Notamacropus eugenii: one gene and its partners. Each later gene encodes a partner of the first gene's protein in a complex. Links are inferred from orthologs where the notes say so. Each region holds a gene or a part of one and is shown in the gene's direction. Other genes may lie near its edges.

Region 1 (7,595 bases):
GACAAGATTATCAGCTTCCTTCCATGAAGACCAATTATACTGCCCATCCTCCCCAGGACTTATCCCCAAGAGCAGGGGTTGAGACAACTCTAGACCTATGCAGACAATCAGGGAAGCAAATGCAATGTGCTATGTTCTCTTTGCAACCTGTCCACCACTCCTGGGATCTGAAACCCTATGTGGTATGTGGTATGTGCATATGTGTGTGTTATAGTATCCCATTGGATACTATAAACTAAACTAAGGAAGCTGCAAATCTCCTCCTTTTGTTTGACTAGAGAGTTAGAGAGGTATTTCCATTTCATTGCTCCCAAATCATCAAGTCCTCTCTCAGCCCAGGGCAACTGCCCTGGGCCCTGTTTAGCAATAATTTAATAACTTTACATATATATGCATATACATGTGTATATGCATATATATTTCTTCTTATCAACGATCTCCCCAAGTTATCTGTATACCTCAGGGGTCAGGGCTCTCTTTGGTCATGAAACAAGATACTACCCAATAATATTGTTGTTCAGTCATGTCCAACTCTTCATGACCCCATTTGGAGTTTTCCTGGCAAAGATACTGGAGTGATTTGCCATTTCTTTCTCCGGCTCATTTTACAGATGAGGAAACTGATGTAAACAGGGTTAAGTGACTTGCCCAGGGTCACGCAGCTAATTAAGTGTCCAAATTTGAACTCAGGAAAATGAGTTTTCCTGACTTCAGTTCCAGCACTCTATGCACTATGGCGCCACCTAACGGCCCACACAAGAATATAGGGTGTTAACCAGAGGCAACACATTTTATTCTGTGCTATGCAGTTCAGCTGGAGAGACATACTATACATGCTACATCTGTGGATTATTTTTCTTTGTGACTTACTTTGGCAGGTTTTCTAGACTTCTGGGGAAAACCCTGACCATGGAAACCTCTCAGAGATTTGAGTCCTAATAAATGTGGTTCTTCCAAACTGAAACAGACATAAAAGTTATTAGAGAAAGCGAGAGGAAAATAAAGGCTAGTGCAGGGAAGATCTTGGAGGAACAACCTTCCTCATGCTTATAGCAGTAACACTTCTACATAATACCTCAGTATTTTATAGTTTCCCTTTTTAATAATCTCTGCTTCCTAATCCAGTAGCAAAGAAATGTAGCGTGACCAACAGACAGGTGTGGATGTGGAACCTTTCCTACATATAGGGCACAGAAGTATAAGATGCAGTCCCTATCCTCAAGAGACTTATTCTAGCTGGGATAGGAAATGTACGTGATAAATCAAAGGCAGAATGTGTTAGCTATATAGTGAGTAGTTGTTCAGTTATTTTAAGTCATATACAACTTCATGACCTCATTTGGGGTTTTCTTGGCAGAGATATTGGAGTGGTTTGCCATTTTCTTCTCTAGTTCATGATACAGATGAGGAAACTGAGGCAAACTGCATTAAATGACTTACTTAAGGGTTATAGGGCTAGTGTCTGAGGCCAGATTTGAGCTCAAGAAGATACATCTTCCTGACTCCAGGCCCTCTATGCACCATTCCACCTAGCTGCTACAGGAGTTCTGAGGAAATGGCAAGACAGTCACTCATAAAAGAAAACAATCTGGTTAGATTTCATGGAGACTAGAGAACTGGGTCTAGAAAGTCAGTTCAGGAAGATGGAGAGAACGTCAAACTGGACTCAGGAGATCTGGATTCAGGTCACAGCTCACTTACTGGATTTGTAACCATGGGCAAAGTACTTCCCTTTTCTCAGCCTCAGGTGCCCTCATATATAAAATGGGAATATTTAAAATACCTCCCTCATAGGTTTGACCTAAAGAAAGGGCTTTGTAAGTCTCAAAGCAATAAATACAATTTGCAGTTATAGCTGTTAAAAGGATAGCATACAAATAAGCTGAGAGGCCTAGGAGGACACACGCCAAGTAGTATAAACAATATAATTGAAGGCACTGAGGTGAAAATCAGAATTGCGTGATCAGAGAACAATGGGTACACTAGCTGAGCTAAAGAGTAAGGTTCAGGTAGGAAAACAGTAGAAGATAAAGTGGAAATGGAGTGAAGAGCCTGGAATGACAAACTCAAGTTTTGGCTTTATTCTGTAAGTGCTAAGAAGCCTGTGAAAAATTTTAGTTGGAGGCAAGACATGCTAATTAGTGTTTTAAGAAAATCAATCTAGTCTACGTGTACAAAATGGACTGAAAAAAGGCAGAGACCAATTAAAAAGTTATTCCCACAGTCCAGGCATGAGTTGGTGCCCTGTGGGTCTGAACTAATACAGCTGCCATAGAAATGGAAAGCAAGGGATAGATAAGACATACATTAATACAGCTGAATTGACAAGATTGACTTGATATAGCAGTTCCCTGTCAACTCTGCACTATAGCTTTAGTCCAAGAGAAAAGTGTGAATGCATGCCAACCACATGTCCACCTTCACACAGTGGGAGAAGCAGCATTCCATTCTTTTCTCCAAAGCTCAAATCTTAGAGAACCTGAAAGCCATCTTATCCTTTCCTTAATTTTACCCTATCTCCTAGAGCCCACCAGGCACCACTGAGCAGGAAAAACTAATCACTATGAAGTATATCAAAAGGCCCAACACCCATACTTTGACTCCAAGAAAATTCACTTTCAAGTGTTTATTGTGCACCTAGTTAACTATGTGCCAGTTACAATGTTACATCCAAGAAAGCAAAAACCACCTCTCTGTCTCCCAGAGCTTACAATATAGTTTCAAGCATGAAGTAATTAATCCAAATAATTAACATCTTGAAAATTCTTAACCTATTTGAAGCAATTGTCCAGATACACTTCAGTTTAGCATTTCTATTGGAACCCAAAAAAGGGAAATATTTCTTTCTCTTGCCTCGATATCAACTCACCACTTCATTTTGTTAGTGAGAAATAGTTCTTCCCATGGTAGGCTCACTGTTTCTTAACCTGGCATGGCAAATTCTGGGGCATGGCTCTAAAAAATAACCACCTGGGATCCTGAGACACATGGTTTCTGGTGTTTTCATGATGAGTCACCTGCTTTGTAAATCCGAATCAAATTTAGAGTCTCCAGTCAAAGAACAAGGATGCTTGAAAAACGGGGCTGAATCAGCGATTCTCTTGGCCAAAATGGAAGAATCAGGTAAAGATAAATCTATTATCTTTAGAGTTGGCAGTTCATCTAGAAATGCAGACCATATTAAAAACTAGTCAGAAAGGAAGCCAAATATACCACATATATGGGTCTTTGGACAAATATGAAAGGGTATTGTCAGTTCACCTTCACTTTTCTTAGGAGCTCTGGAAATTGGTTGAAGAATTCGAGGATGACCCCTCTGAAGCCTTCGGACTGTTGCCCAACATTGTGGATGCTGGCAAACAAGTTGTGGACAGGTAGTCTCATCCCATTGACTGACATCTGGCAATTCGATATTTATCACAGATTTACAGCAGAAACCAACCTCAAGATCATTAGCCATCTACGGAAACAAGAATTAAATAAGCTAGGGAATATGACACAGTATCATTAGTTATATCTGCATGGCAACGTGTAGCCCACATCTTAATTTGATTGTGAATATCTATGTCGCCTCAAAAAAAGATGCGTTAGAATGGAGACCAAAGGAGCAGATGATCCAAAAATCATTAGTGAAATTAAAAAGTGTCTACTCCCTACCGCAAACAGCCACCAAACTGATACAATACTGATACAGCGGCAGATAAACAAGGGGTAGTGAAAATAACACTGGATGTGGAGTCAGGCGACCTGGGTTTGAAGATGGAGTTCACTATTTATTAATTCTGTGACCTTGGACAAGCAATTTCCACTCTTTCCACTTCAGTTTTCTCATATACAAAATGAAGGGGTCAAAGAGTGATCTATAAATTCCCTTCCAATTCCAAATCCTAATAAGTCATTATCTTGCATTTATACGACATGTTCTATTTTTCAACACTTTCACATATGTCATTTCATTTTTCCTCACCACACAAGCTTGTTAATATACTATCCATAATGGTGTGTGCTACTAATAATTGTGTATTACTTAAAATATCTAAAAAAAAGTAAAAAAAAGTCTCCAGTGGAAATTTTTCTACAGTTAAAGGAAGCAGAAGCCTAGTCCTGAGATTCTTCTAAGAAAGGAGAAAATCAGGGAGTCAGACAAGCTTAAAGACGAAAAGATTCCGGAACCTTGGGAAGATCAGACCAAAGGAGGAGGGGAGCAGCAAGGGCAGAGAGTGAACAAACAGAAAGCCGGCTTAAGAGTCCACACCGCCTGGACTCCAACCCTGCCTCCGACACGGAGGCTGCAGGACTCTGGGTAACTAAGAGGATAAACTGCAGAGAAATCACAGCTCTGCCCCGGGAGAGGACGGTCCTCACCGAGAGCTCCCTGCACCAAGCAAATGCCAGGCAAGGTCTCAAAAAGGCAACGCAAGCCAGGAGGCAGGCTGCAGTAAGATGGAGAAGTGCGGGGCGTGCGGGACATGGGATGCTCGGGGAGGGGGGGGGGGGGGGTCAGGGCAGGCTTCAGAGGACGGCACAGCGGAGGCGGGGTGGGACAGGGCTGGGGAGGAAAGAGACCCAGGACGGTGCGGATCAGGCGGGGCACAGGGAGGAACAGAACGGCGGAGAGGGAGGTCGGGGCAGGCACAAGGCAGAGACCGGGAGTCAGGATGAAGCAGCACCCCGGTCAGCGAGCACCGCCAAGGGCGAAGGCTGGAGGGGAGGCGCGGAGGACGCCCCACGAGGAGGGAGGCGGAAGCGCAGCTCGCAGGGGATCCCTGCCCTCGGAGAGCCGCAGAGGAACGGCAGCACGGACCAAGCCACCCCGCCCGACTGAGACCTAGGCTAAGCCAGCCTCCTCTACGTCGGAGCGACCCTGACAGGATTAAAAGAGTCTCTAGGCAACCGCGCGCTGCACCCTGGGGGACCGCCGGGAAGGGCGGGGCTCTCCGGTTTCCAGACCCGGCCAGGCGGGCCTTGGATTGGCCGAAACTCATCGGGGGAAGTCTCCAGGCGTGAACGCACGAGGCCGGCGCCTCTCCGGGAGGGCGTGGAACGCGCTGGGGCTGGGAGGCGGGCGTACGAACGGAAGCCCAGGCGGGACACGCGCTCCGGGGCGGGAAGTACGGACGCCGGAGAGGCGACCTGGGTGAGCGACGCGGCCGGCGGAGGTCCGGGCCGCAACTGCCGCCTTGTCTCGGAGGCCGGCGGCGGCGGCGTGGTTGCGGCTGTCCCGGGGCAGACGAGAGGCGCGGTGGCCATGGCGGAACGTCCGGAGGACCTGAACCTTCCCAACGCCGTCATCACCAGGATCATCAAGGAGGCGGTGAGCGGGGCCGAGGCCGGGGCGGGGGCCGGGCCGGGGCGGGGGCCGGGGCCACCCCACTAACTCGGGGGCCGTCTCCCCTTGCAGCTCCCCGACGGCGTCAACATCTCCAAAGAGGCCCGGAGTGCCATCTCTCGGGCTGCCAGCGTGTTCGTGCTGTACGCCACGTCCTGGTGAGAGCCTCGGGCCGCGGCAGATCCCCGGCGGGGCTGCTTGCCCTTCCTGACCCGGGGCTGTCGGGCCCCCCTTCCCGGGTGTCCTCCACGTACCTCCCCTAAATCCCCAGCCCTCGTCCAAGAAGCTTCTCCGTCCTTCCCCTAGTTACCCCCATCAGGTTATTTTTTTGTATATATGTGTCCGCATTTAGTATTTCCACCGTAGAAATGTAAGCTCTTTGAGGGCAGGGACGGTTTTCTGTTGGATTTTGTATCCCCAAAAGCTTCTTGGCTTATACCTGGAGAGAAAGTCAGAAATCAGGAAGACCTGGGTTCAGGTCCTGCCTCTGACCCATAACTTAGCAGTGGGACTCTCGACAAGTCATTTAATCTCTCCTAGTGCCCTAAGCAGCTCTCTAAAATAAAGTTTCAGAGAAGGGGTGGACTTGCTTTCTAGAGAAAGTTTTCCTCCACTGAGAGTACCGTATACCAATGAACTCATAATAGGTCCAGTGACAGCCTCTCTCTTAGCACCTAGCTCAGTCTTACACATTTAAGACACTTAGGAAATGTGTTGACTTGAACTTGAACTTAAGTACAGCTTCATTCTGAAGTTGATCTCACAGAAACTTGGTGATGAAAAGATTTGCTGAAGGTCCCACAACCAATTAACAGAATTAGGACTCTCCTTACTCTTAGTCCAGCGCTAGTACTCCTTCCATTATGCTATGTTGCCTCCCTCAGGAAATGAGCTTAGCCACCCCCAGTCCTCTGTAGGAGCAAAGTATCCCTATCAGTGTTTACTGTATTGAAAATTTGAATGTAGTGTTATGAAAATAAGGTTGACTTCATGGACCCTCTGAATTGATTTTAGGAGAGAGCCACTAGTCTGATCTCAAAGGTCAGCTTCTCTTTAGGCTTCAGTTTCTATGTCTTTATTAGTAAAATAAGGAGGTGAAAAGATGGTCAGTAATAATAAGAGCAAATATTTATGATGTGCTCCCTGCTACATCATCTTTGAAGTAGGTAGCCCTTCAAGCTTCACATGGTTTAAGAGGGCTGCATCTGGTATTTTTCACACTTCTCTTTCTTTACCAGACTAGAGTAATTGGGATTTGTAATTACAGGTTAAAGTTTGAGACTACAGGTAGTCTCCCTAGATGTGGGCTTGGTCAGGCAATCAGATTTGCTTACATGTACCTGTTAATTGTCTTTAAATGTCTTGAAGTAAGACATGGCCAAGATAATTCATCTCTCTTTTTTTTTCTAAGTGCAAACAACTTTGCAATGAAAGGAAAACGAAAGACCCTAAATGCTGGTGATGTGCTATCAGCAATGGAAGAGATGGAATTTCAGCGATTCATTTCCCCTTTGAAAGAAGCACTAGATGGTAACAACTGGTGTATTTTATTGGGCGGGTAGACATAGCTCCTTGTAAAGTGATGGTCATGTAATTTAACCAGATGAACTTAAATACAGTATTGTATATATATAGATGTGTCTTCATTTGAACCTGTCTCCAAGCCCTTAGCCTTGCCTTATAGCTTTCTTCTATTTCTAGCATATAGACGTGAACAGAAAGGTAAGAAGGAAGCTTCAGAGCAAAAAAAGAAGGATAAAGACAAAAGAACGGATTCTGAGGAGCAAGACAAGAGCAGGGAAGATGATAATGATGAGGATGATGAAAGAATGGAAGAAGAGGAGCAGAATGATGAAGAAGAGGTTGACAATTGAGCTTCATGGAGAGAATGTGGAGTCAGATGATAAGAAACTTGGGGTTCAGCACTGTTGCCTCCATTGTACTGTTTGACAGAGAATTCTGTGGCCTTTTCCTCCACTGCTAAGAATGCCTCCATATGAGGACCTAGGAATACTTCTTGAATAATCCCCAAACCAGAGTTTTTCTGAATGAGATCTTTCCAATTTCATTTTCATAGTTTATAAACTGACCTTTTGACAAGGTAGGTTATGAACTGCCATTTAATCAAATTTTTGTGGGAAAAAATGTAGAAGATTCATATATTTCACTTCCTGTTTTATGACCCACATTTCATACTAGCTATTATTTAGAGGGTGTAGAGGCAGCTGAAAATTGGAGATGTTTGAACTCTGAGCATGAGTTAGCC
Region 2 (6,977 bases), about 150 Mb from region 1:
TTCTGACATCAGGCAATGCACTGGAGAAGGGAATGGTCAACCACTCCAGGATCTTTGCCAAGAAAACCCCATGGACAGTACTAAGATAAAAGAGATGACATCTGGCCTCTTAGGTCAGAAAGTATCCAATACGATACTGGGCAAGAGCGGGCTGGTTTTCAAAGAAGCAAAGGAATTAGAGATCAATTGCAGCATTCACTGGATTATGGAGAAAGTAAGGGATTTCCAGAAAAATATCTTCTGCTTCATTGATTACACTAAAGCCTTTGTGTGGATCACAACAAAATGTGGGAAGTCCTCAAAGAGATGTAAGAACCAGATCATCTTACTTATCTCCTGAGGAACCTATATGTGGGCCAAGAAGCAAGGTAGAACTGAACATGGAACAACTGGTTGGTTTTAAGATTAGAAAAGGAGTTTGACAAGGATTTATATTGTCACTTTATTTATTTAACTTATATGCAGAATATGTCAAGTGAAATATTAGGCTGTATGAATCAAAAACCAGTATTAAGGTTGCCAGGAGAAATAGCAACAATCTCAGATATTCAGATTATACCAGCCTAATAGCAGAAAGTGAAGATGAATTAAGATACCTCTTGATAAGAGTGAAAGAGGAGAGTGTAAAAGCTGGCTTAAAGTTTAACACACACACACACACACACACACACACACACACACACACACACACAACACCCCAAATCCCTAAGATCTTGGCAACTGGTCCCATCAGTTTCTGGCAAATAGAGGGAGAAGAAATGGAATCAGTGTCAGATTTTATATTCTTGGGCTCAAAAATCATTGCAATCAGTGACTGCAACAATGGAATTAAAACATGCTTGCTCCTTGAAAGGAAAGCTATGGAAAATCTGGACAGTATACTAAAAAGCAGAGACATCACCTTGTTGACAGAGGCCTATTAGTCAAAGCCATGATATTTCCAGTAGTAACATATAGCTGTGAGAGCTGGACTATAAGGAAAGCTGAGCTCCGCAGAATTGATGTTTTCCAATCATGGTGCTGGAGAAGACTTTTGAGAGTCCCTGCAACAGCAAAGAGATCAAATCAATCAACATTTAAAGGTTATTCATTGGAAGGTCAAACACTGAAACTGAAATATTTTGGCCACATGATGAGACAATGGGACTCATGGAAAAAGACTCTGATATTGGGAAAGATTGAAGACAAAAAGAAAAGGGGAGGGCAGAGGATGAGATAGATAATGTCACTGAAGCAATGAATACAAACTTGGACACACTTCAAGAGACAGCGGAGGACAGAAGGGTCTGGTGTCCAAGGGGTTGCAAGAGTTGGAAACTACTGAACAACAAAAATGTTTATGGACTATTGACTCTACGGTCCCCCCCAGCTCTAAATCTATGCCTTGGATATCTGCTTTACTGATTGAACTCTACTGATTGAAGATGAGTTAAATAATAATTCCCTATGGGTCATTTACTTACTTGAATATCCTGATCCCTGGGCTATGTGAAAAACGGATCTGGGAAGTGCCGGGGACCATCTGAGGCTTGATGCTATGAGACTATAGCCTTTAAGGGCTGGGTGTTCTAACGGCCTTGACCTCTTTGTTTTCAGTACAGCAAAGAAATTTAAAAGAAAAAAAGTCATTTATTGCAATAAAGAAGCCTGCACTGAAAAAAATACCTCTAGTTTGTGGCTGACCTTATAAATATGCAACAGATCAAAAAAATATGGAAGATGTTAATGAAAATTTTGAGACAGTAACATTATTTCCTCAATACTCATAAAGCATATCATCACAGAACTTCTTACATTTTTACAATACGGCTAAGTTCACCTTCCTGATGTCATGGCCCTCTCCATGTCACTCCCCTTCCTGGTATCACCTCCTCCCTTTGGCCTTATATTATCAAAATGAAAACTTTTGTAAGGACTGCGAATTGTTTGCTCTTGCTTTGATTTTCATATGCATGTTCATTCTTCTTGTAATAAACCTAGTTTTCACATAAGTTTTGTGAAGGTATGATTTCCTGTTGATGTTAATAGAGGTAAACCCTCAGGTGTTGTATATCCTGAGAATTCTTGTGCCTACAAAGCAGTTCTATCCAGAGGGGAAACTAAGACCCAGAGACTTTTCTGAGGTCACAAAGACAGCAAACAGTAGAGCCAGAAATTGAATCCAGGTCCTCTGACTTTATATCTAGTGCTTGCACCCCTAAACCATGCTAAATTAAAGGACAATGAAAAGAACAAAAGAAGGTGGCGGCAGGTTTAAGAGGTTTAGGGACCACCCCCTCCCCCCTAAGGACTGAAGTGCAGGAAAGGGTTGTCTGTAATGAATTCTTGGACTCAAGCATTCTTTAAGTCAAGGTGACAAAGGTTTATTGTAATGCTTTGGGCAGAGTCCTTTAGGGAACCTGTATTCCCTAAGAAACTTGCAATTTAGCATGAATGATGCTAAAGTTTACATAGGAAAAGTAGTGGATTATCTGGCAGATATGCTAATTAGGTGATAATTTACAACCTTTATCATAGGCCAATTTACAACTTATAACTGTGGTCATCCACTACTGGAAACCAGGGGAAGGGGTTTCTCAGGAATGTATTTTTGGTCTGTTACTCTCTAGTAAGATAGCTTTGAGAATTGATGTGTGTAGTTTGACCTGTGGATTGAATATAATAACTTTGGGATTGATACATGATAATTCTGTGATTACAAGATAGTCCTGTTTTTACAAGAGAATTTCTTCAGAGGTCAACTTGTTCTTGTGATGGGGAAAGATTGTTTTACTGGAGTCCACTCATGAGTAATTGTGGGGGGAAATAGTTCGTCTTACTGCGACCCACTCATGAGTTCTTGCTAGGCATAGTGTCCTTGGGTTGGAGAGAAAACCGTGAGGGATAACGTTTTGAAGCTAGGGAGAAATGTGATCTTGGAATTGGGGTCCAAGCACAAGCACCCAAGCAGCCCATCAGCGGGAGATAGAAACAGGAAAGGAAATTTGTAACAGTGGGAAGGTCTAAGAGATGAAAGAAGACATTCCTCAAAATTCATTTCCTGCAGGGTCACCACTTTCTCTGTTTGCTCAGCACCCAAGGGGCTCCATTGGCGCTTAATTTCTTTGGGCTGGTTGAAAGATTTCCAGGTGTTGTGTAGAACCTGTCTCATGGGCTTCCTGATGGCCACATGGTTTTCTCTCCATGCAGACCTCCGCACTGGGCAGAAGCTCAGAGGGTTTGGATTGACACACAGTCACTCCGTAGGGTGGAGAACCTGAGCTGGGCACTTGTGGAAAGTTTCACCGAGCCTGGAAACAATGTATCCTTACTTTAGTTCCTTTAAGGCCAGACCATACAGCAAGTCTTCCCTGAACCTTCCGACCCTCCCCACCGACCTGGCGCTGGCATCTCACACAGCACTTTGTTTAGAACCTATCCCATGCCCTTACGTACAGTTAAAAACAATTGACTTTTATTTCTCGACCCTCTACCAGAGCCGTGAGCTCCAGGAGGGCAAGGGCGTTGTTTTGTCGGGCAATTCGGTGCGGTGGAAAGGGCCTTGCTCTAAATCTTTCCCCCGACGCTGACTTGCTATGTGACCTTGAACATCATTTCCCCTAGTCCGGGCCTCAGTTTCCCCCTGTGCCAACTGGGGTTTAATGAATGAATAAACAAGGAAGTGGACCCTTTCAGGTTTCAGCCTGGGATCTAAACTCAGCATTTAGCGCAGACGGCTGAATTTTCGTAAATGGTTGAGAAACCCAGGCGTCCTGCGGTGGGCTGATCCTCAAGGTGGGCCAGGACGATAAGACAGAAAAAGCGACTGGAGGAGGATTCGGCCACTGCCACCAGTAAATACGGTAATGCAGCCCAGCCGCTCCCCTGGAGGTGGTAGGGGCTGGGCTGGAGCTGACACGCGGCAAGAAGGGGCGGGGCCAGAGGGGATCCAGGGCGGGAAAAGGACAGGCGCCCGCGCGCTCGCGCCCCGGCTAGAGGAACGCGCACGCGGCACGCACAGGGGCTCGGGATGGCGGCGGCGGCGGCGGCCACGGCGGCGGGGTCGATCGGCCCGACGGCTGCGCCAGTGGCGGAGGAGGGCCCCAGTGGAGAGGCAGCGCCGGCGGCGGCCCCTCCTCCGCAGGCCCCGGCGGTGTCGGCCGCACCCCGCTTGTCGCGGTTGCCCCTGGCGCGGGTGAAGGCGCTGGTGAAGGCGGACCCAGACGTGACACTCGCGGGCCAGGAAGCCATCTTCATCCTGGCTCGCGCCGCGGTGCGCGCGGGCGGGACCTGGCGAGCTGGGGGTGGGGCCTGGCGAGCTAGGGGCGGGGCTGGGAGGGACTTAGTGGAAGTGGGTGGAGCTGGGGGCGGGGCCTAACCAGCTGCGTCGGGGAGATCCATGGACAAACTTGGTGCAAAACCTTTTAGGAAAACCTGGGTCTAAAAATCACATCAGACGCTTTTTAGCCGTGCCATCCTGGGTAAATCACTTAGATTTCTTTGAGCCTCAGTTTCCTCATCTGTAAAATGAGGAGGGCTCCTGCACTTCTAGAGCTGGAGAAGACCTCAGGAGCCATCTGCTCTAATCCTCTCATTTCGCAGGAGAGGAAACTGAGGCACAGGGAGGTGGAAAGACTTTCCCCAGATCGTGCAGGTGGGAAGCAGCAGAGCTGGGACTTGCACCTGGGTTCTCTGACTCCAGGACCAGTTCCTCCCCTATCCACTCTCAGTGACTTCTAATTCCCTGACTGTGGTCTGTGTTCCATGATAAGGGAGATGAATCTGATGGCAGTGTGAAGGAGGAGAGCTTAAGGGGAAAGACCTAGAGTAACAATCTAGGGTGGTGGTAACGGGGGCTGTGTAAGATTAAGTGCACAGGACTTGGTAGCTGATTGGATGCGGAAGGTGAGGGACAGGGAAGAATTAAAGATGGATAACACCAAGGTTTTGATAGGAACAGTGAAATTGGAAGGAGGAGCAGATTTTAGAGTTAAGATGTCATTCCAGTTTTGTGCATGTTGCTTTTGAGCAGCTGTCGGGACACTCAGGGGCAGATGTCCCTTGGGCAATTTACAGGTTTTAGATCTGAAAAAGATCTTATTTGTAGACACCAGAGGCTGGGAGAGAAATGAAGGGTAGAGATGATCAATTTGGGATTTTTCTATGATAGCTATACTGCTAAATTCTGTTTCTCGGTCATTTTCAGTTGTGTCTGACTCTGTGACCCCATTTAAGGTTTTCTTGGCAGAGATACTGGAGTGGTTTGCCATTTCCTTCTCCAAAATAAGTTGTTTTAGGTGCCACTTTTTAAGGAAGGACAATGACAAATTAGAGAATCCAAAGGAGGACACCTTGGATGCTGAGTGGTTTCAAGTTAATGTCCAGTGAAAATTATTTGAAGGAATTGGAGAGGTTTAGTCTAGAGAAGAGAAGGTGTACATGTGGGAGATGTGATAATTATCATAAAGTATTTGAATGACTGTCACATGGAAGAGGGATCAGGGGTTCTCTTTGGCCCCAGGGATCTAAACTAGGAGCAAAAGGTAGAAATTTCAACGATGCAAATTTAGACTTGAGGTGACGAATAACTTACCAGTTTTAGAGCTGTGCAAAGTGGAATGGACTACTTCAAGAAGTATTAGGCTCTGCCCCTTGGGAGCTCTCCCAGAGAGACTGGATGAGTACTTGTGGGGATATCTTACTCTGTATTTACTTTATATACTTAGTAGTATTCATGCTATAGTCTCTGGTAAGTTATAAGCTCCTTAAAGGAAGGGACTGTTAATTTTCTTAAGTCGGTATCTCTAGGGCCAAGAATAGTTCCTTGTTTCTCGCCCTTTACCACCACTCTCTTAAAAAAGTTTTTTTTGGCATTTCTGATTTCATTCATATAGGGAACTTCTGCTGAGGATATTTACTCTATCAGCAACTTTTCTACAATTAGTACTCTTCAAGTATGTTACTTCTGGCATTCAAAAGTTGTGACTTACCTAATCTCTGAAATTCTATAGGAGTAAATGAGATTGCCAAAAGAGAAAGCATATCAAGATGAAGGCTAAGCGCAAAACCTCATCAGGCACCCTCCTCTCTCCCTTTCCATACCTCAAAGAGCTGAGAAGAGATTGAGGAGCCAGGAAGGAGACAAAAGAGTGGCTAGAGAAGTAGGAAAACCAGGACAGTGGTGTTTCTGAAACTAAAGGAAGAGGAAAAGGGATTTATATAGGAAAGGTGTCAATCAGTGCTGTATCCTTCAGAGAGGTCAAGGACATTGATGGCCTTTGAGAGAGCAGTTTTAATAGAATACTGTGGTTGGAAGCCAGATTGCAGGAGGATCAAGTCTGACTTTGAAGGGATGAAAAGATAATGCAGTAGCTAGATGGGATAGAAGGGTCAAGGGAAAGCTTTCTAGGATTGGGGAGTATGTGTGGAAAGGGAGATATTGAAAATCCATGAGAGAGAAGGAATGATTTCGAGAATAAGGTCCTAGAGGCAGGAGGTTATGGGATCAAGTCCACTGGCTAGAAGACTAGCCTTAGTAAAAAAATAAATATATCTTCCTTTGAAAATGAAGGGGAGGAAGATAGAATGGGTGCTGATGCTCAGAAGCTTTGAGGAGTAATAGAGGGAATTTAAAGGCACTCCAATGTCATAGGGCACCTAGGTCGCACAACGGATGGAGTGATGGGACTGAAGTCAGGAAGACTCATCTTTGTGAATTCAAATCTGGCCTCAGACACTTACTAGCTATGTGACCCTGGACAAGTCGCCACACCCTGTTTGCCTTAGTTTCCTCATCTGTAAAATGAGCTGGGGAAGGAAATGGCAAACCAGTCCAGTATCTTTGCCAAGAAAACCCCAAATGGGGTCACGAAGAGTCAGACATGACTGAAACAATTGGACAACAACCCATTTGATAGCCTTAATCTTCTCAGTAAAGTAGAAAGCTGTTACCTGTTGTAAATGCTGAGGTTATGTGTATGATTGGGGGCTTGAGGAGA
Region 3 (7,692 bases), on another chromosome or scaffold:
CCCAAGTTGCCTTGGTGATGGGGTGGGAGGGGGAGGAGGTGGAGGAAGGAGCAGTGGAGAAAGAACAAGAGGGGTGTGATTAAATGAGAGCCTCAGGTCTTTTTAGCTTTCTCTGAAGAGGCCACCTTTTTCTTCTCCTCGCTCTGGCTGCCTCTTTTAACTATCTACACAGTCCAGCTGCCTACCCCCTGAAGCAGCTTGGGGTCTTCCAAAACCTTTGGCTCTGTTTGTAACATCTTCTGCTCTGGCAAATACATTGCATGGAGGTTTTGAATGGATTACTACACAGTCTACCAACGGGTTTCTGTAAAGCTTTTAAATATGTATGAAAAGCCCACTGAAGTGAGTGTCACTGGCTAACTTTATTCCCAATTGACAAAAAAATGACTAATAAAAATACTTTAAATAATGTTGGTCTTAAGGCAGATTCTTCAAGAAATCGAAACCATAACATGAGAGAATTGGTTTAGCAGAGGAGGGGTCAGATCTACATTTTAGGAAGATTCTGTTGGCAGCTGTGTAAAGGATGGACTTGATAGGGGGAGAGATAGGAGACAGAAATCTCTTTAAATAATTTGTGATTGCCTCCTAATTCCCTGTCTTTTGAAATAGAGTAGTGACTGGGAACGGGGAGAAGATGAAGGATGCAAGAGATACCATGGAATATAAGGAGCTTGTTCGAGTAGGCAGACTCCCTGTTTTATCCAGACTATATCCTCCATAATGCTTTGGGGCCCAGAGAGTTATGCTGATTAGGAGAAGTTCCTGAACTTGAAGTACTAGGGGTCTGTCTTGAGTGTGGGAGATTTTGAGAAGAGCTGGGAGGTAGAAATAGAAAGTACAGAAAGATTAGGGTTTCATGAATATATCTAATTATTGCCAGCACTGGTGGCAAGGTTTAGTGCTAGGTTCCTTCTCCAGAAAGCTGCTCCTGAAGTTGCCAGGTCATGATGGTGTAGTCCATCCCTGGTAGAATTAATTAGCACTAGGATGCTTTGCTCCTCACTTGTGATGTCTGTCCAGAGAATTTCTTATGCTAGTCTCAAAGCTTTTCCAATTCTGAGATTTTCAGAGTACACTGAGAGCTGAAGAAAGGTTTCCCGTAATCTTCCATGATCCCACAATGGACAGGAAGAAGGTCTATTAGGGAATTGATACAACTTGAAAACTGCCTAGGTCTCTTTCTCATAGTGCAAGGAGGAAAATGGAAGGTAATGGGGACTGAATTCACAATAGAGAAATATGGAGGTAACTTGTACAAATCCGTGGGAGGAAAATACGTGAGAAATGTTCCTTACCTATTCTGTTATTTTGTTTCATTAAATATCTTTTGCTTTCTACTAATGTATCTTCTGGTTGACTTAATAGTGAGGGCTCATGAGCCCTCACTGAGTAAATGCTTCAGGTGCCTTGCACCTGGGGCAGCTTTCAGAAGGCTCAAAATTGACAGGCAGCTAGGTGGTACACTGGGCCTGGACTCAGGAAACATCTGATTTGCAATCTGGACACAACCACTTACTAATGGCGTGACTCTGGACAAGTCACTTAACCCTATTCGCCTCAGTTCCTCATCTGTAAAATGGGGACAATACCGTAGAAGAAAATGGCAAACAACTCCAACATCTTTGCCAAGGAAAATTCCATAGACAAGTCCATGTGGTCACAAAGAGTTGGACATGACTAAACAACAACTCGGTCTACAGATGTAGAATTGACAGGACTTGGCAAGTACCTAGTTATGTCCTCCCTCTTCTTTAAGATCATATTCAATACTTTTTTTTCTTCTGTAAGCCAGGCAGTCAGCGGCATAGCTCATAGAACACAGGAATAGGAATTAGGAAGACTTGTGTTTGAATTCTGTCCCAGACTCTTACTAGCTGTGTGACTCTGGACAAGCCACATATACCTCTCAGACTCAGACACCTCATCTGTAAAATAAGGATAATAATAGCGTTTATCCCTTAGGGTTGTTGTGGGAATCAAAAGAGATAAATACAAAACCTTAAAGCAATATGTATGTGCTGTTATTACCTTATATTGCTTTGTGTGAGGTTTCTTTTTTTTTTTTTTTTGGTTAATGTTCAATTTTATAATTTGATTCTGGCTTTCCCACTGTACTGCAAAGTTATCAAGAGGAGGAATTATGTAATCCACTTCTTCTGAATCTCTGCACAGGGTGCACTATTTGTGGCTAGGTAAATTTTGGATTAAGTAGACTAGATCTTTTGATTCTCTTTGGTCTACAGGGGATTTTACTTTAATAGATGAAAAAAATCAAGCAGAGACTGAATGATAACTTCTTGGCTGGGGATCCCTTTCAGCCTTACGGATTGTTCTCAAAAATGACCACAGACTCTTCAATAAACATGTCAATTTTTTAAGTTCCCCATTGTCACATTTTCTGCCTTCAAGGACCACCCTTTCATGATATTGTTATTCTTTCCATTAACAATGTAACCTAATGGAAAAAATGGTAGACTTAGTCGGTCAGAGACCCGGTACAATGTTGCAAAGAACTTTGCAAAAAGTAAAGCATTTTTATGTGTGGGTTATTATTATGTATCTATCAATGGCAACTTGTATAAGTATTTGTCCTGAGGACGTTTGTTAGTCTATCTGTAAGGCTCCTTTGGTGTAGCAGAAAGTCCTGGGTTTGGAGTGTTGGCTTAAGTCTTCTAAACTCTGTAATCTTTCATGGGCAAGTAGTCTAAGTCTCAATTTAAAAAAAAAATCTATAAAGAGGGAATAATAACACTTGCACTAATAAATATTTGTTTAATTTGTTATGAGAAAAATTCTTTGTAAACCTTAAAGGGCCATGTAACGGGTGTCATCGAGAGACATAGCAGTTACAGATGTGGGCTTTTAAATTAACTGCTAGTCACTCTGTATCAGCTCAGACTAAGAAGGTATCAATTGATAGGAATAGGATAGGGGAAATTTGTCTGCACCAGGTGTTACCTTCTCTGTCAGCACGTTCAGTGGAGAATATTCCAGTCTTGGTTTTTCTGCTCTCTCCTTTTGCCAGCCAGTCAACAAACATTTACTACACACCCACCATTTACCAGGCACGGTGGGAAGGACTAGGGATACAAAGAAAGACAAAAGACAGATCCTGCTGTCAAGGTCTAATGGGGGTAACAACATGCAAACAGCCATGTACAAACAAGCTAAACACAGGACAAATTGAAATAATCAACAGGAGAGACACCAGAATTATGGGAGATTGGGAAAGGCTTCCTTCAACAGGTAGGATTTTAGTTGAGATTTTAAGGATGCCAGGAGATAGAGATGAGGAAAGATTCTAGGTATGGAGGACAACCAAAATGCAGAGATAAATGTCTTGAGTGAATTCGAGGAGGTCAGTTTTACTGGATCAAGGAGTACAGTGAAGGGTGAGGAGCACAAAATGTAAGAAGACTGGAAAGCTAGAGAAGGACCTGGTTATGAAGGATTTCAAATGCCTAAGTATTTTATATATTTGATCCTGGAGGTGATAGAGAGCTAGTAGACTTTACTGAAAGTTTGGAGGGGGTGAAGCAGGGGTGGTCACATGGTCAGACTTTAGATAGGTCACTTTGACAGTGGAGAATGGACTTGAATGGGGACACTGATGGTAAGGAGACCAATCTGCAGGTTAGTGTATAAATAGTCCATGCATAAGGTGATAAAGGCCTATAGCAGGATGTGTGAGAGATGTTTGCAAGGGTAAAATGAACAGATCTTACAAACAAAATTGCAACAGTAACAGGAAACTTAGGAAGAAGGAACGTTTTTTTGGAGGGGGGATAATTAGTTCAATTTTGGACACGTGGAGTTTAAGATGTCCACTTGACATCCAGTTACAAACGTCCAGTAGGCAGTTAGAAATGAGATAGTACAGGTAAGCAAAGGCAAGTGGATTCGAGAATCCTCAGCATAGATATGATAATTGAATTCACAGAAGCTGAGAAGCTCACTAAGTGAAACAGTATAAGGAACAGGGCCCAGGACAGAGTCCAGTGGGACATCCCAGGCCAGTAGACTCTGACCTAAGTGAAAAGCCATAATGAAGGAGAGAAGGATAGACCAGATTATGTGGGAGAATCCTGTGAGAGTAGAGCCATGATAACTCAGAGAGGACTGAATCAAGAACAGTGTGACTGACCACGTCAAAGGCTCCAGAGAAGTCAAAAAAAAAATGAGGATTGACAAAAAGCCATTAGATTTGGCAATTAAGAGATCATCAGTAACTTTGGGGAAAGCGGTTTCACTTAAATGTTGAGGTCCAAAATTGTAGAGGGTAACAGGAAGTGAAGGAACCGCTTGTAGACTGTAATTCTTAAGTTTAGCCACTTTTAAAAGGGAGGAGAGACGATCGAGAGGTTTTTTGATGACTTGGGTAAATCATTTTTCTTTGGGCCCCAGTTTCTCCTCCTTCCGAACACTAAATATTATGAAATTCTTACAAAACAAATGCTCTTAAGATAATACAAAAATGGGTCTGGGACTTTGCCTGGATGCTTGGTTTTGTTCTTTTCTGAATTAACATTTGGCTGGCTTCTAAAGTCCTTTTCCAAGGCAGAAGTGGTAGTCTGATGTGTTCGGTCACTGAAGATGGCACACCTGCAGCTGCTACATACAGCTGGGGGAAATCAGATGAGGATGACTAAGACGACGACAGACCCTACGTCAGGCCTCTCAGACGTGCAGATGTCTGACGTCCGGAGCTGATTATTAGACGTAAATTTGGACCCCGACTACCCGCACCAAGAGAAGCGTGGACTCGGGTATCAAACCACCCACGCGGATCCTACCGTCTCCTGCCTTCACCGTAGCCACGAGAGCAACGGCGCGCGGAGCTTCATGGGATATGCGGTCACCTCCCTCGAGCCCGCCCTTTGCTGGGGCCAGGGGCCCCGTCTCTAGAGAACTACGCTTCCCATAAGGCAACAGGCCCGCAAGACTCCCTGTCAATGAACTTTATTTGTCAAACTGATATCTCGGAAGGGGCGGAGGCCGCGGCGGCCGCGGCAGCGGCAGCGGCGGCAGCAGCAGGAGTAGTGGCGGCCGCGCGATTTCTACCACTGCTGCCAGGGCGGGGGCAGCAAGATGGCGGACGGGTTTGGCGGCAAAGAGAAATGTGGCGACCAGAGGCTGGTCTCGCTACCCTTGTCTCGCATTCGGGTGATCATGAAGAGCTCCCCGGAGGTGTCCAGCATCAATCAGGAGGCGCTGGTGCTCACGGCCAAGGCCACGGTGAGTCAGGGGAGAGAAGAGAGGAAGCGAGGGGGGAGGGGGAAAGGAGGCGGTGTCTAGACTGCCCCCCCAACGGCCGCATCTCGCGCGCCGCCCCCTGGGAGCCACGGCGGCAGCTCCGCGCGCACGCGCTGCCTGACGGCGCGAGCGCGAGCACGAGCGCCTATCCCGTGCCTCTGACCCGCTGTCATTGGAAGGGATGCTCTTTAAAAAAAAAAATTTTTTTTTTTAAAAAAAAGGACGTCCAATGAGACTCGGAGAGGGCGGAGCCTTGGCAGAGAACCATCCCGCGTGGCGGTCCCCGGAGTTTTCAGTCTTTTGTTGACTCTGTGTGGGTGCAGAGCTGTGAATCCCAGGGGATCCCAGCTGGTGTTGCAGTAGAGCAGCGTGGAGCCCCCCTAAAGACGCTACCCTGGGGAGGGTGTGTGGCAAACGCAGGGGAAACGAGGCTGCCAAGCCGAGGAGAAGTTCTGCGTTCAAAATATTTCCCAGCGTGTCTGGTGGAAACCATTTGATACAAAGTTGCGAGGGCGGGTTCTCCTTGCACTGCTTCCACCCAACTGAATTACCGCAGGAGGGATTTAGTACAGAGGAAGATCACCTTAAGCACAAAGGTGTTGGGTAGAAATTGACATAGGTCGGTAAGGGAAATTTGCAGAGGGTAATGGGGTTTTAAGGTAAACGCTTTCCAAAAATTCAGCCTGCCTTCATCCATCCTGGAGTTATTTTTTGTTTGTTTTCAGTTTTCTTTTGGGGCGGGGCGGGGGGGGAGTGACCTTTACCTGCTGAGATCTCAGGTTTAAAGTTTTGCTCTTTCTCAGCCCTGGTTGGAAGTGCCCTTGACTCTCCTGGCCAAATGCAATGTGATCCACTGCAGCTGTGTCATGTCTCCTTATAAGTTCTATTCCGAGGCTCTCATCAGGACGCAATGAATCTAGAGAACAAATCTGAATTGTAAAATTAAGAGAAAGAATGCCCTTTTCGGTGATTTTGAACAGAGACGGTCTTTATGGCTGGAATAAAAAAGCAGTGACACTCTAGTGGACATAGTGAGGTGATTAGCATTTATATAAAATTTTAAGAGTTGCAAGCTCTTAACAAATATTACCTAATTTTGTCCTCACAACAACCCTGAGAGGTAGGTGGTGTTGTTATTCGTGTTTTACACATTGAGGAAACTGAGGCAAGTAGAAGTGACTTACCGAGAGTCACACAGCTATAAGCTATATTTGTAATCCACACTCTCACTGGCAATCCTATCCTTATGTTTACCCTGAAGAGCTGTACCCCCAATTTAACTTAAAAATACTATTATCCTCTGCAACTGCCTTTATTAACGTATCAAGGTCTGACAATTTGTAGGTTTAAGATGATGCTCCAATGTCCACATCCCTGCTGCTGTAATTACATTTTCTGGGTATACAAGGAGAAAGAATTGTAGGAATTTTGTGTGCAGTGATTGCTAAACATTTTGGCTAAACCTGATAGTTTTAATCTTCCTTAAAATGTATCTCACCTTTAATGATCCCTTTTTCTCCTCTGAACTCTTTCCTTTTAGTGGTTTTCAAAACTAAACGCTAAATACTTGACTAGTGTTGAATAATGTAGGTTTCACAGTGCTTTATGCTTCTTGACATAGTATCTTTTTTTTTTTTTCCTAAACTAAAGTCTGTCTCCCAGTTGATTCTTAGCCTACTTGTGGTATTCTTGGTTGGAGCTTGTCATTGCTAATGGGTTCTTGTTTCATTTTGTCCTATTACTGTCATTTCTTAAGATAGTTATACAGTTTATTCACTTTATTCTTTAAGGCCTTACCAACCAGGCTTGGGTTAGACTTTTTCCAGCTTCTTTGTTGATATGACCTCAATCCAGCAGCAGCTGCAAAACAGGAGAGCTTTGGAGGTCCTTACTTTTATTAGGCTACTAGCTTTTAAAGCCAAAACCTCCTTAATTACCTCCTTGATTGAGAAAGTATGGGCTAGACAAGCCAAACTTTGGGGGAATGCAGCACAGTTCAGGCTGGTGCTTTGCATCAGTTTAAGAGATATTTTTGTCTATCCTCAGCATGGAGGAGTTGAGCTGGGAGCGAGAAGTCTGGCCAGCTTTACGACTCCCAACTCATTGGCTTCATTATCTGGTTTGCAGTGGTGTGAATTACCAGAACTTCAGATATGCCCATATTCAAATGGAAGGTAAAAAAAATTGCATCTCTAGAGGCAAATGTGATTTTTTTTTTTTGGATAATTGACATTACTTTTCTCTTCCATTACTTTAGGTAATTTATCATTGACTGAATTTCTGATTCATTGCCCTATATTTAGTCAATCATTGATAATAATTGCTAAAAGTACTAAATCTAAAATAAATTTTTGTAGAAAGACCATTTGCTACCCTTCTCTCAACATCAAACTGATAAGTACAATGTTATGTCCTTGTGCCTCCTGTAGTGATCTT
Region 4 (7,415 bases), on another chromosome or scaffold:
TTTCATCCTGGAGGCATAGAGAGCTATGGAGGCTTTTTGAACAATAAGGGTATTGTGGTTGCTTCTTTTTCTATGAACAGACCTGTGATGTCTGTGATGGAGAAAACCCTCTCAGGAAAGCCCTGCAAGCAATGTGGATCAGCACCTGTTTCCCAACAGGTTTTGGAGAGCTGCCTGGACCACTGAGAGATTAAATGACTTATTTGCCCAGGATCATATACCTCCAGTACATATCAGAAGTGAACCCTGGTCTTCCCCACTCTTTGGCCACACTACCAGTCTACCCACTACACCAGGCTGCTGAGCAAGTCAGATGTGTTCTGTAGAAATGTCAGAGACAAGGAGGCCAAGGTTGGGAGTCTATCACAACAGTCCAGAAGGGAGCTGATGAGGACCTAAACAAGACTGGTTGTAGGGTCAGTGGAGGACGGTGACAGATGCAAGATATATTTTGGAGACAAAAGTGAGGAGACAAGAGCTGGTCTGGCTACTGTACTGAAGTGAATGCCACTTGAGTGCTAGAGCTTAAACCAGAAAAGTGATTTGGAAATTAGAGCCTTGTCTGGTAGGTGCAAAGAGAAGGCAGCTAGCATGGGCATGCTTTGCAAAAAAAGCTGCCACTAGAGGAAAAGTAGCCCAAACAGAAAGACCCTAGCCTGGTGCTGAATAGCTGAGAGAAAACGGGAATGAAGAGGGGAGGGGGCTTGAGGGCCAAGGGGAAGCCTGCAGTCACGCGGCTGTGCCTTCGCCCGGTCCCCTGGTATTTCAACTTCCCCTACTTCCAAAATCAAAGAGGAGCCAAAGAGGGAGGGCAGGAGATGGGAAAAGAAGCTTTCAGGTCCCTCCCCCGGAGCCCTCAATCTGCCTTAGCCAAGGGTCCCCTGCAGCTACAAGACTAATTTACAACAACCCCCAAACAAATCCAGAAACCACCAGCGTGCCGCAGTCCACAAGCCTGACCCCTCCAGCTGCAGCTTCTCAGGGAGTCGGGGACGGTGGGGGCGGGGGAGGTGGCATTCCAGGGAGGTGGGCAGGGGGGCGGGGGCAGAAGGCGGAGCTTTGCTCTGACGCTCCGCCTACGACAGAAGGGGTTTCCTGGTCACTGGGAGGTAACCAGAGAAACAGCGGCGCGTGCCCCAACTTAATTGGAATGTTATAGAGAAAGGTTTCCCAATCTCTCCCTACAGCACTCTCTTCCCACCCCTCTACCCCACCCCTTTCCCCCCACCTCCCCTCCCCCAACCTCGGCCCCACCCCCTACCCCCCTTCCTGCCTAGCCCCTCTCCCCACCAAACAGGTGCAGATCAGTACCCTCCGGCTCGGGTCACAGATCCAGGCCCCACGCCCCCGGCCCCTTCCCCTGCGCCTGGTCCTCTTTCTCATCACGGCACCCGTTTCTCCAGCTCCATCCCCTAGATCCTACACTCCTGACCCCTTTTCCGATTTCTCTGACCCTCTCTCCTCTCCAATCTCGCTTTACCTAGGTCCCTCTCCGATTCCCTCTTCCACCCTTCCTCCCCTGATCCCCTTCCCCCAAGCCCCTCCTCCATGCCTGTTCCCCCGATCCCCTTCTCCATCCCCGCTCCCGTGGTCCCTCCCTCCATCCCCATCCTCCGGATCTCTCTCTCCTGATCCTCCCCTCCATCCCAATTCTTCCGAGCCCGCTTTGCCGTCACCTTCCCCCATCCTAACTCTCCCCATCTCCTTTTCTCAGACCTCTCCTTCCTCCCCCATACTTCTGTCCCCTCTTCCACCTCCCCTTTGCCAGTCTCCCTCTCTGCCTCTCTTCTCTCGAGCCCTCTCCTCCAGCCCCCCTCTTCTTCCTCCAAACTCGGATACTTTTTCTGCAGTCTCCCCCGTCACCTCGGATTCCACTTGCACCTCCACACCTGTTTCTTCCCTATTCACCCAGTCCCCTCTCCCATGCTCACTGCCCCATTCCCTCTATCCCCTTTTCCATCACCATTACCGGGATCCCTCACCCGCAGTCCCCTCCTCTCTCCCCCGACCACCCCACTCCTCCGTCTTTCTCTCCCACTACACCCTCCCGTCTCAGCTCCTTCGATCATTCTCTCCCTCCTCCCCGCTCCATCCCAATTCCCCTATCCCGTTCCCATGGGTCGCTTCTCCCTCCCAGCATTCGCAGTCGGCTCCCTCATCCCCGCTCCCCCTCTCAATTCCCTCAGCCCCACCTCCCCTCCTCTCCCTCTCTTCTGACTCCCCAGCTCCTCCCTCCCAATCTCCTCTCCCAGTCCGATTCTCCTTCCCAGACATCTTCATCCAACACCAAGATCCCAGTCCTCTCCCCGACTCCACTCCCTCTTCCCCGCTCCCGCACTCCCTTTCGGCTTCCCCTTTCGCGGGTGCCTTTCCCCCGTGCCCGCTCGCTCGATCTCCACCATTCCCGCTGGTGCAATCCCCGCCCGCATCCCCGCTCTCCAGCTCCAGTCCCCCGTCCTCGCTCTCCTGCTTCCTTTCCCCACCCTCGCTCTCCCCTAGCTCCTCCAACCTATACCCCCACTCCAGTACCTTTCCCACGCTCCCACGCACCTCCCTCATTCCATTCCTCTATCCTTATTCCTCCATCCTTCTTCCCTGTTCCCCTCCTTCATCCCCAATCTCTCAGTTCCCTCCTCCATCATCCCTAATCTCCCAGTCCCTCTCCCCAGATCCCCTGACCTCTTCGCACTGATGTCCAGTCCCAGCCGTTTCTTTTAACAGACTTCTATTCTCCTTCTCCGATCTGTCTCCCCTGTTCTTTCTCTAGATCCTTCTCTCCAGACTGACTCCCATCCCTTTACCTTGCATCACTGTCTGCAGAACCCTTTTCCCATCCCTTTCCTTGATTCCCCTCTTCCCAGCCCCCCTTCCCTAATTTGTTCTCTCTTAGTCCACTCCCCATCCTCCCCCAAATAACTGCCCTTTGTTGATACCCTTTCTGACCCTTCTCCTCAGATTTCTTCTCTCATTCTCCTTCCAAAATCTCTCACCCCTCATCCTTCCTCTTAGGTCTTCCCCGATCCTTGTTCTCATCACTTTCCTCTGATCCCTTTCCCTAGGTCGTTCTCTGATCTGTTCTCCATATCACTTTCCCCTGATCTCTTTCCCACAGATCACTCTCCTGATCTTTTCACCCAGATCACTCTTCTCTGATCCTTTCCCCTAGATCACTGTCCCCTGATCTTCTCCCCAGATCACTCTCTCCTGATCTTTTCACCTAGATCACTCTCCTCCGATCCCTGTTCCTAGATCGCTTTCCCCTGATCTTTTCCACAGATCACTCTTTCCTGATCTTTTTTCCAGATCATTGTCTCCTGATCTTTCCCCAGATCGTTCTTTCCTGATCTTTTCACCAGATCGCTCTCCTCTGATCCCTTTTCCTAGATCGCTCTCCCCTGATCTTTTCTCCGGATCACTCTTCTCTGATCCCTTTTCCTAGATCATTCTTCCCCTGATCTTTTCTCCAGATCACTCCTCTCAGAACCTTTTCCCTGGATCACTCTGGATTTTGTTTTCTCCTCTGATCCTTTTTCCTTGAATTCTCTCCTCTGACTCTTTCCCCTAGAACCCTTTCCCTAGATTTCGCTCCCTGAATCCTTTCTTCCAATGGCTCTTCCCAAATCAAATCCCTTTCCCCTCCGCCCCCCGCGTGTGGTTCTTTCCAGATCCCTTTCCTCTGATCTTCCACCCTAAATAGCTCTTCCCAGATCTATTTCACCTGATTCCCCCTCCCTCATGGAGCTCCCCAGATTCTTCTCGTCTGATCCCTTTCCTCTGATTCCCCCCCGCCCCCAATAGCTCTTCCCAGATCTCTTTCCCCAGATCTCCCCCCCACCCAGGCTCTCCCCAAATCCCTGTCCCTAGATCCTTATCTCCCGATCGCGCCCCGGCCGGACCTAGTGGCAGCCTTGGTGAGCACCGGGTAGAGACGCAGCAACAGCAGATACTGCTCCAGCACCCGCTGGGGGAGCGGCCTGGCCCGGGCCCCGGCCCCAGGCCCGGCCCGCAACGTGGACACCACCGGAGCCATCAGCCATCGGCTGAAAGCCAGCACAGTTCCGAGTCTGGGCGCGACCTCGGCTCTAGGGCAAAGGGAGGGGACGGCCCTACATTTCTAGCCCTGGGGCGCCGCGCGGCGCGGCGCTGGGGGGCACCTAGTGCAGCCAGGCGCACGAAGCCCGGAGTTTTTCCCGGCTCCCTAAGCCTTTCCCTCCTCTCCCGGGCGGGCCGCGTAACCATTGGAGGACCACGGGGCGTGGCGGTTCCTGCTCCTGATTGGGTGCTCTTCCAGAGAGGCGGGGGTGGGTGGAGCTGAGCTGCGCTCTCGCGAGATTTGGGGCCGGAACGCGCGAAATTTCTCCCGGGAACGGAGGACGCCCCTGAGGAGAGCGGCGGAGTGAGAGTGGCGGCGGCTGGCCCGAGATGGTGTCCCGGGAGCGCGGGTGGAAGCGCGCCGAGCCCGGGGAGGAGGCCGAGAACAGTCGGTGAGACCTGCGACCCCGCCGGCCCCGAGGCCTCAGAGCCGCCTCTGTCCCGCCTCCCCTCCCCCAAGGCTTCCTTGAGCGCCCCCATCTCCTCCGCAGGGTCCCTCCCAGGGCCCTGAGGGCCGCTCTCCACCCCAGCCTTGCCGGCCTCAGCTCCCCCTGGGCCGTCGGTGCACCCCCAAATGCTGAGACCCCAGAGCCACCCCGCGCCGAGCCCCTGGAATCCGCCGTGCCCAGCGGCCGTGCCCAGCGGCCGTGCCCGCTGGTGCCCGCGCTGACCACCCACGGCCTTCTGCGCTCCCATCCCTTCCCCGGAGGCCGCGCTGCCTCCGGTTACTTCCCTGTCCCCCCATACCCCCGTGTGCGGCCTTTCCTCCGTGCCTTCACTTGCTTCTTTACCTTCGATACCTGCGTGCCCATCATTCTCAGATCTGCTCTCCAGCATTTTTAGACAGTATTTTCCCTCTTCCATACCGACCTTCCCGTTGTCGCGTCCACCTGCTTGCCGGACCTTTCCAGCTGGGGGTCCGACCGAACACTGAACTCATCATAGTCATCATTCCGGCTCCTCCTGCTTCAGTTCTCCTAAATCCTCTTCTTTCTGGCTTTCAGCCTCACCCCTTGAAGTTACCCGTGATCTTTTCATGTCTTTCCTGATCCCTTTCTACCTACCTGTTTCATCTGACTGTTGAATATTGGGAAAAATCGTGAAGCCGATGCTGACAGGGTCCACTACAAATTTATGTTACCTAATTTCAACCAGGCCGGCCTTGCTGCCAAGTAACCCTTTTACACCTCCCGAATTAACTCACCACAGAGGTTCTTCCAACCCTTTTCCTGATTTCCTTTCCCCCTCCCTTCTTAGCTGAAAACAGACTCATAGTTTACTGGTAAAAAAAAATGGAAACCCTTTCCCCAAGAGTTCCCTCTTTTCCTTTCCTCCTCATCTTATATCACCCAAATGCCTTTCTCCACTGTCTCCTTGTGTGAGAAAAAGATGGTCATTCTTGCCAAGCCACACCCTTCTGTTTCACAAGTGATCCTAGTCCACCTTTCTACTGAAAATTTTCCCCTCTAATTATCCTCACTCTCCTTGCCTGTTGGTTGCTTTCTAACTGCCTACAAACTTGCCCCTGACTCCTCATTGCAAGATCTTCGTAATCTTCCTCTGAACTATCTCTTGCTTCTGTCCTTTCCAGTCCTGCTACTGGTGCAGTCCAGTCCTTCTTCTGGACTCTCCACAGTTGGTATCAGCCTACAACTCAGAATCACGGGAATTCAAACTGAATCTATAGGACAGTAGCTTGTCACACCAGTACTGTCTTCACAGTAGTAGTGGTAATGTTGATTTGATTATCAGTCCTTAAGCAGGAGGAGAACAGGGACAAGCTATTGCTAGAGAACAAATGGCAAGGTCCTGGTCCTTTTCTAGTGGTCGGGGTGGGAGATGGTAGAGTTGTGGGATAATTGATGACAAAGGGGAGAGGGGTGTTTGAGGTAGTCCTTCCCCTCTCCCAGTCCTCATTTAGATCAATTCACCTGATAACCTTACCTAACCTTTTCCTTTCTCCTCTCCATGCCTTGGCTATAGGCTTAACTTTGAGGTCACCTTTTTCAGGAAGCTTTTCCTGAATTCTTCTCTGCACATCCCTCCCACTCAAAAAGTAATGTTTTATTTAAATAATCAGCTGCAGAAATTTAGGCAAGACTACAGAGCAATTGAAATGGAAACTCAAGGTGTCTAAGACAGGACAGGACCGGACTATTGTCTTCCAACTGTCCTCCAAGCCAGCCCTCTTCAAACTTCTCTTTTATTGTTGAGACCACCACCGTTGCCCCAATCATCAAGTTTCACACCTTCCACATTGACCTGGACTCCTTACTCTTACTCATCATTAATCAGTTGCTTTCTCCGCAAAATCTCTCTATTCACAGCCTAGACTACCCCAGTGCAGACTGCCATCATTTTTTGCCTTAGCTGTTGCAATAGCTTATAAATTGATCACCCTGCTTAAGTCTCTCCATTCTAGTCCATCTTCCACTCAGCTTCCAAGGTGGTTGTCTGATTTTCGTTTCAACTCCGTACTCAGTAAATTCCCCTATTACCTACAGGATCAAATATAAACTTCTTTGTTTGATGTTTAAAGCTCCCTCCATCTTTCTGGCCTTACTTATAATTACTTCCCTCTGCACTTTTTACACATGACACACCATCTCCTGTCTCCATGCTTTTGCACTGTCAGTTTCCTCTGCCTGGAGTGCTTTATCTCTTCACCTTTGCCTCTTGAAATTCTTTCAGGACTTGGCTTAAGGACCTCCTCTTGCTTAAGCTGTTCTCTTAGCTTGTGCCTTCCCCTCCAAGGTTATCTTGTCTCTCTCTGCTAAATATGTGTTTTGCATATTCCCATATATGTTTTTGGCATGTTAGAATGTAAATTTGATGGAAGCGACTGTTTTTCTTTTGTCTTTGTATTTTAGCCCATTGTCCACCATATAATTGCTGTTTAATGTGTATTTGCTTGCTTGATTCAAACAGGGCTGGATGACTATCTGTTAAGGATTTTATAGAAGGGATTCCTATTGTTGGATAAGTTGAACCTGGATGGTCTCAGGTCCTCTCGAACTATGAGACTTTTTGTTCTTTACCTCTCAGATTTCTCATAGCATTTTGTCTGAAGCTGTCTGTTGCACTGATCTTGCTTTACCTTATGTTGTTAACTTGTTTATGTGTCTTAGTTACCATAGTATATTATAAACTCTTAGAGGATCACGTCTTTTTCTTATGCTTAATAAATGTTTGTTGTTTTGAGGCTGTTGTTACCTTTTTCTTGGGCTTTTACTGTAGACTCTTAGTTACCTGTCATCAGTCTCTTCCCTAATCCGTCCAAGTTGTCCTACCTAATGCCTCCCATCTTCCTAAGGCACAGTTCT

What was found.
Region 2: POLE3 (region 1) and POLE4 share a complex: the UniProt entries of both Homo sapiens proteins name them as parts of the DNA polymerase epsilon complex. The link is inferred for Notamacropus eugenii from reciprocal best matches to the Homo sapiens genes POLE3 and POLE4.
Region 3: POLE3 (region 1) and CHRAC1 share a complex: the UniProt entries of both Homo sapiens proteins name them as parts of the CHRAC ISWI chromatin remodeling complex. The link is inferred for Notamacropus eugenii from reciprocal best matches to the Homo sapiens genes POLE3 and CHRAC1.
Region 4: POLE3 (region 1) and POLE share a complex: the UniProt entries of both Homo sapiens proteins name them as parts of the DNA polymerase epsilon complex. The link is inferred for Notamacropus eugenii from reciprocal best matches to the Homo sapiens genes POLE3 and POLE.

The regions. Positions count from the first base shown.
Region 1 is NC_092872.1:478,313,220-478,320,814, forward strand, and holds the start of POLE3 (DNA polymerase epsilon subunit 3), read left to right. Parts: upstream 1-4,587; 5' UTR 4,588-4,630; coding exon of another isoform or gene 4,631-4,673; 5' UTR 4,674-4,674; coding exon of another isoform or gene 4,675-4,985; 5' UTR 4,986-5,248; coding exon 5,249-5,314; intron 5,315-5,401; coding exon 5,402-5,487; intron 5,488-6,740; coding exon 6,741-6,859; intron 6,860-7,030; coding exon 7,031-7,203; 3' UTR 7,204-7,595. UniProt on the Homo sapiens protein: Accessory component of the DNA polymerase epsilon complex. Participates in DNA repair and in chromosomal DNA replication.
Region 2 is NC_092872.1:630,210,063-630,217,039, reverse strand, and holds the start of POLE4 (DNA polymerase epsilon subunit 4), read left to right. Parts: upstream 1-3,962; 5' UTR 3,963-4,009; coding exon 4,010-4,252; intron 4,253-6,977. UniProt on the Homo sapiens protein: Accessory component of the DNA polymerase epsilon complex. Participates in DNA repair and in chromosomal DNA replication.
Region 3 is NC_092875.1:95,898,263-95,905,954, reverse strand, and holds the start of CHRAC1 (chromatin accessibility complex protein 1), read left to right. Parts: upstream 1-4,682; 5' UTR 4,683-5,091; coding exon 5,092-5,238; intron 5,239-7,692. UniProt on the Homo sapiens protein: Forms a complex with DNA polymerase epsilon subunit POLE3 and binds naked DNA, which is then incorporated into chromatin, aided by the nucleosome remodeling activity of ISWI/SNF2H and ACF1.
Region 4 is NC_092875.1:50,692,888-50,700,302, forward strand, and holds the start of POLE (DNA polymerase epsilon catalytic subunit A), read left to right. Parts: upstream 1-4,400; 5' UTR 4,401-4,422; coding exon 4,423-4,484; intron 4,485-7,415. Other genes in the region: PXMP2 (peroxisomal membrane protein 2), read right to left, coding at 3,897-4,030. UniProt on the Homo sapiens protein: Catalytic component of the DNA polymerase epsilon complex. Participates in chromosomal DNA replication.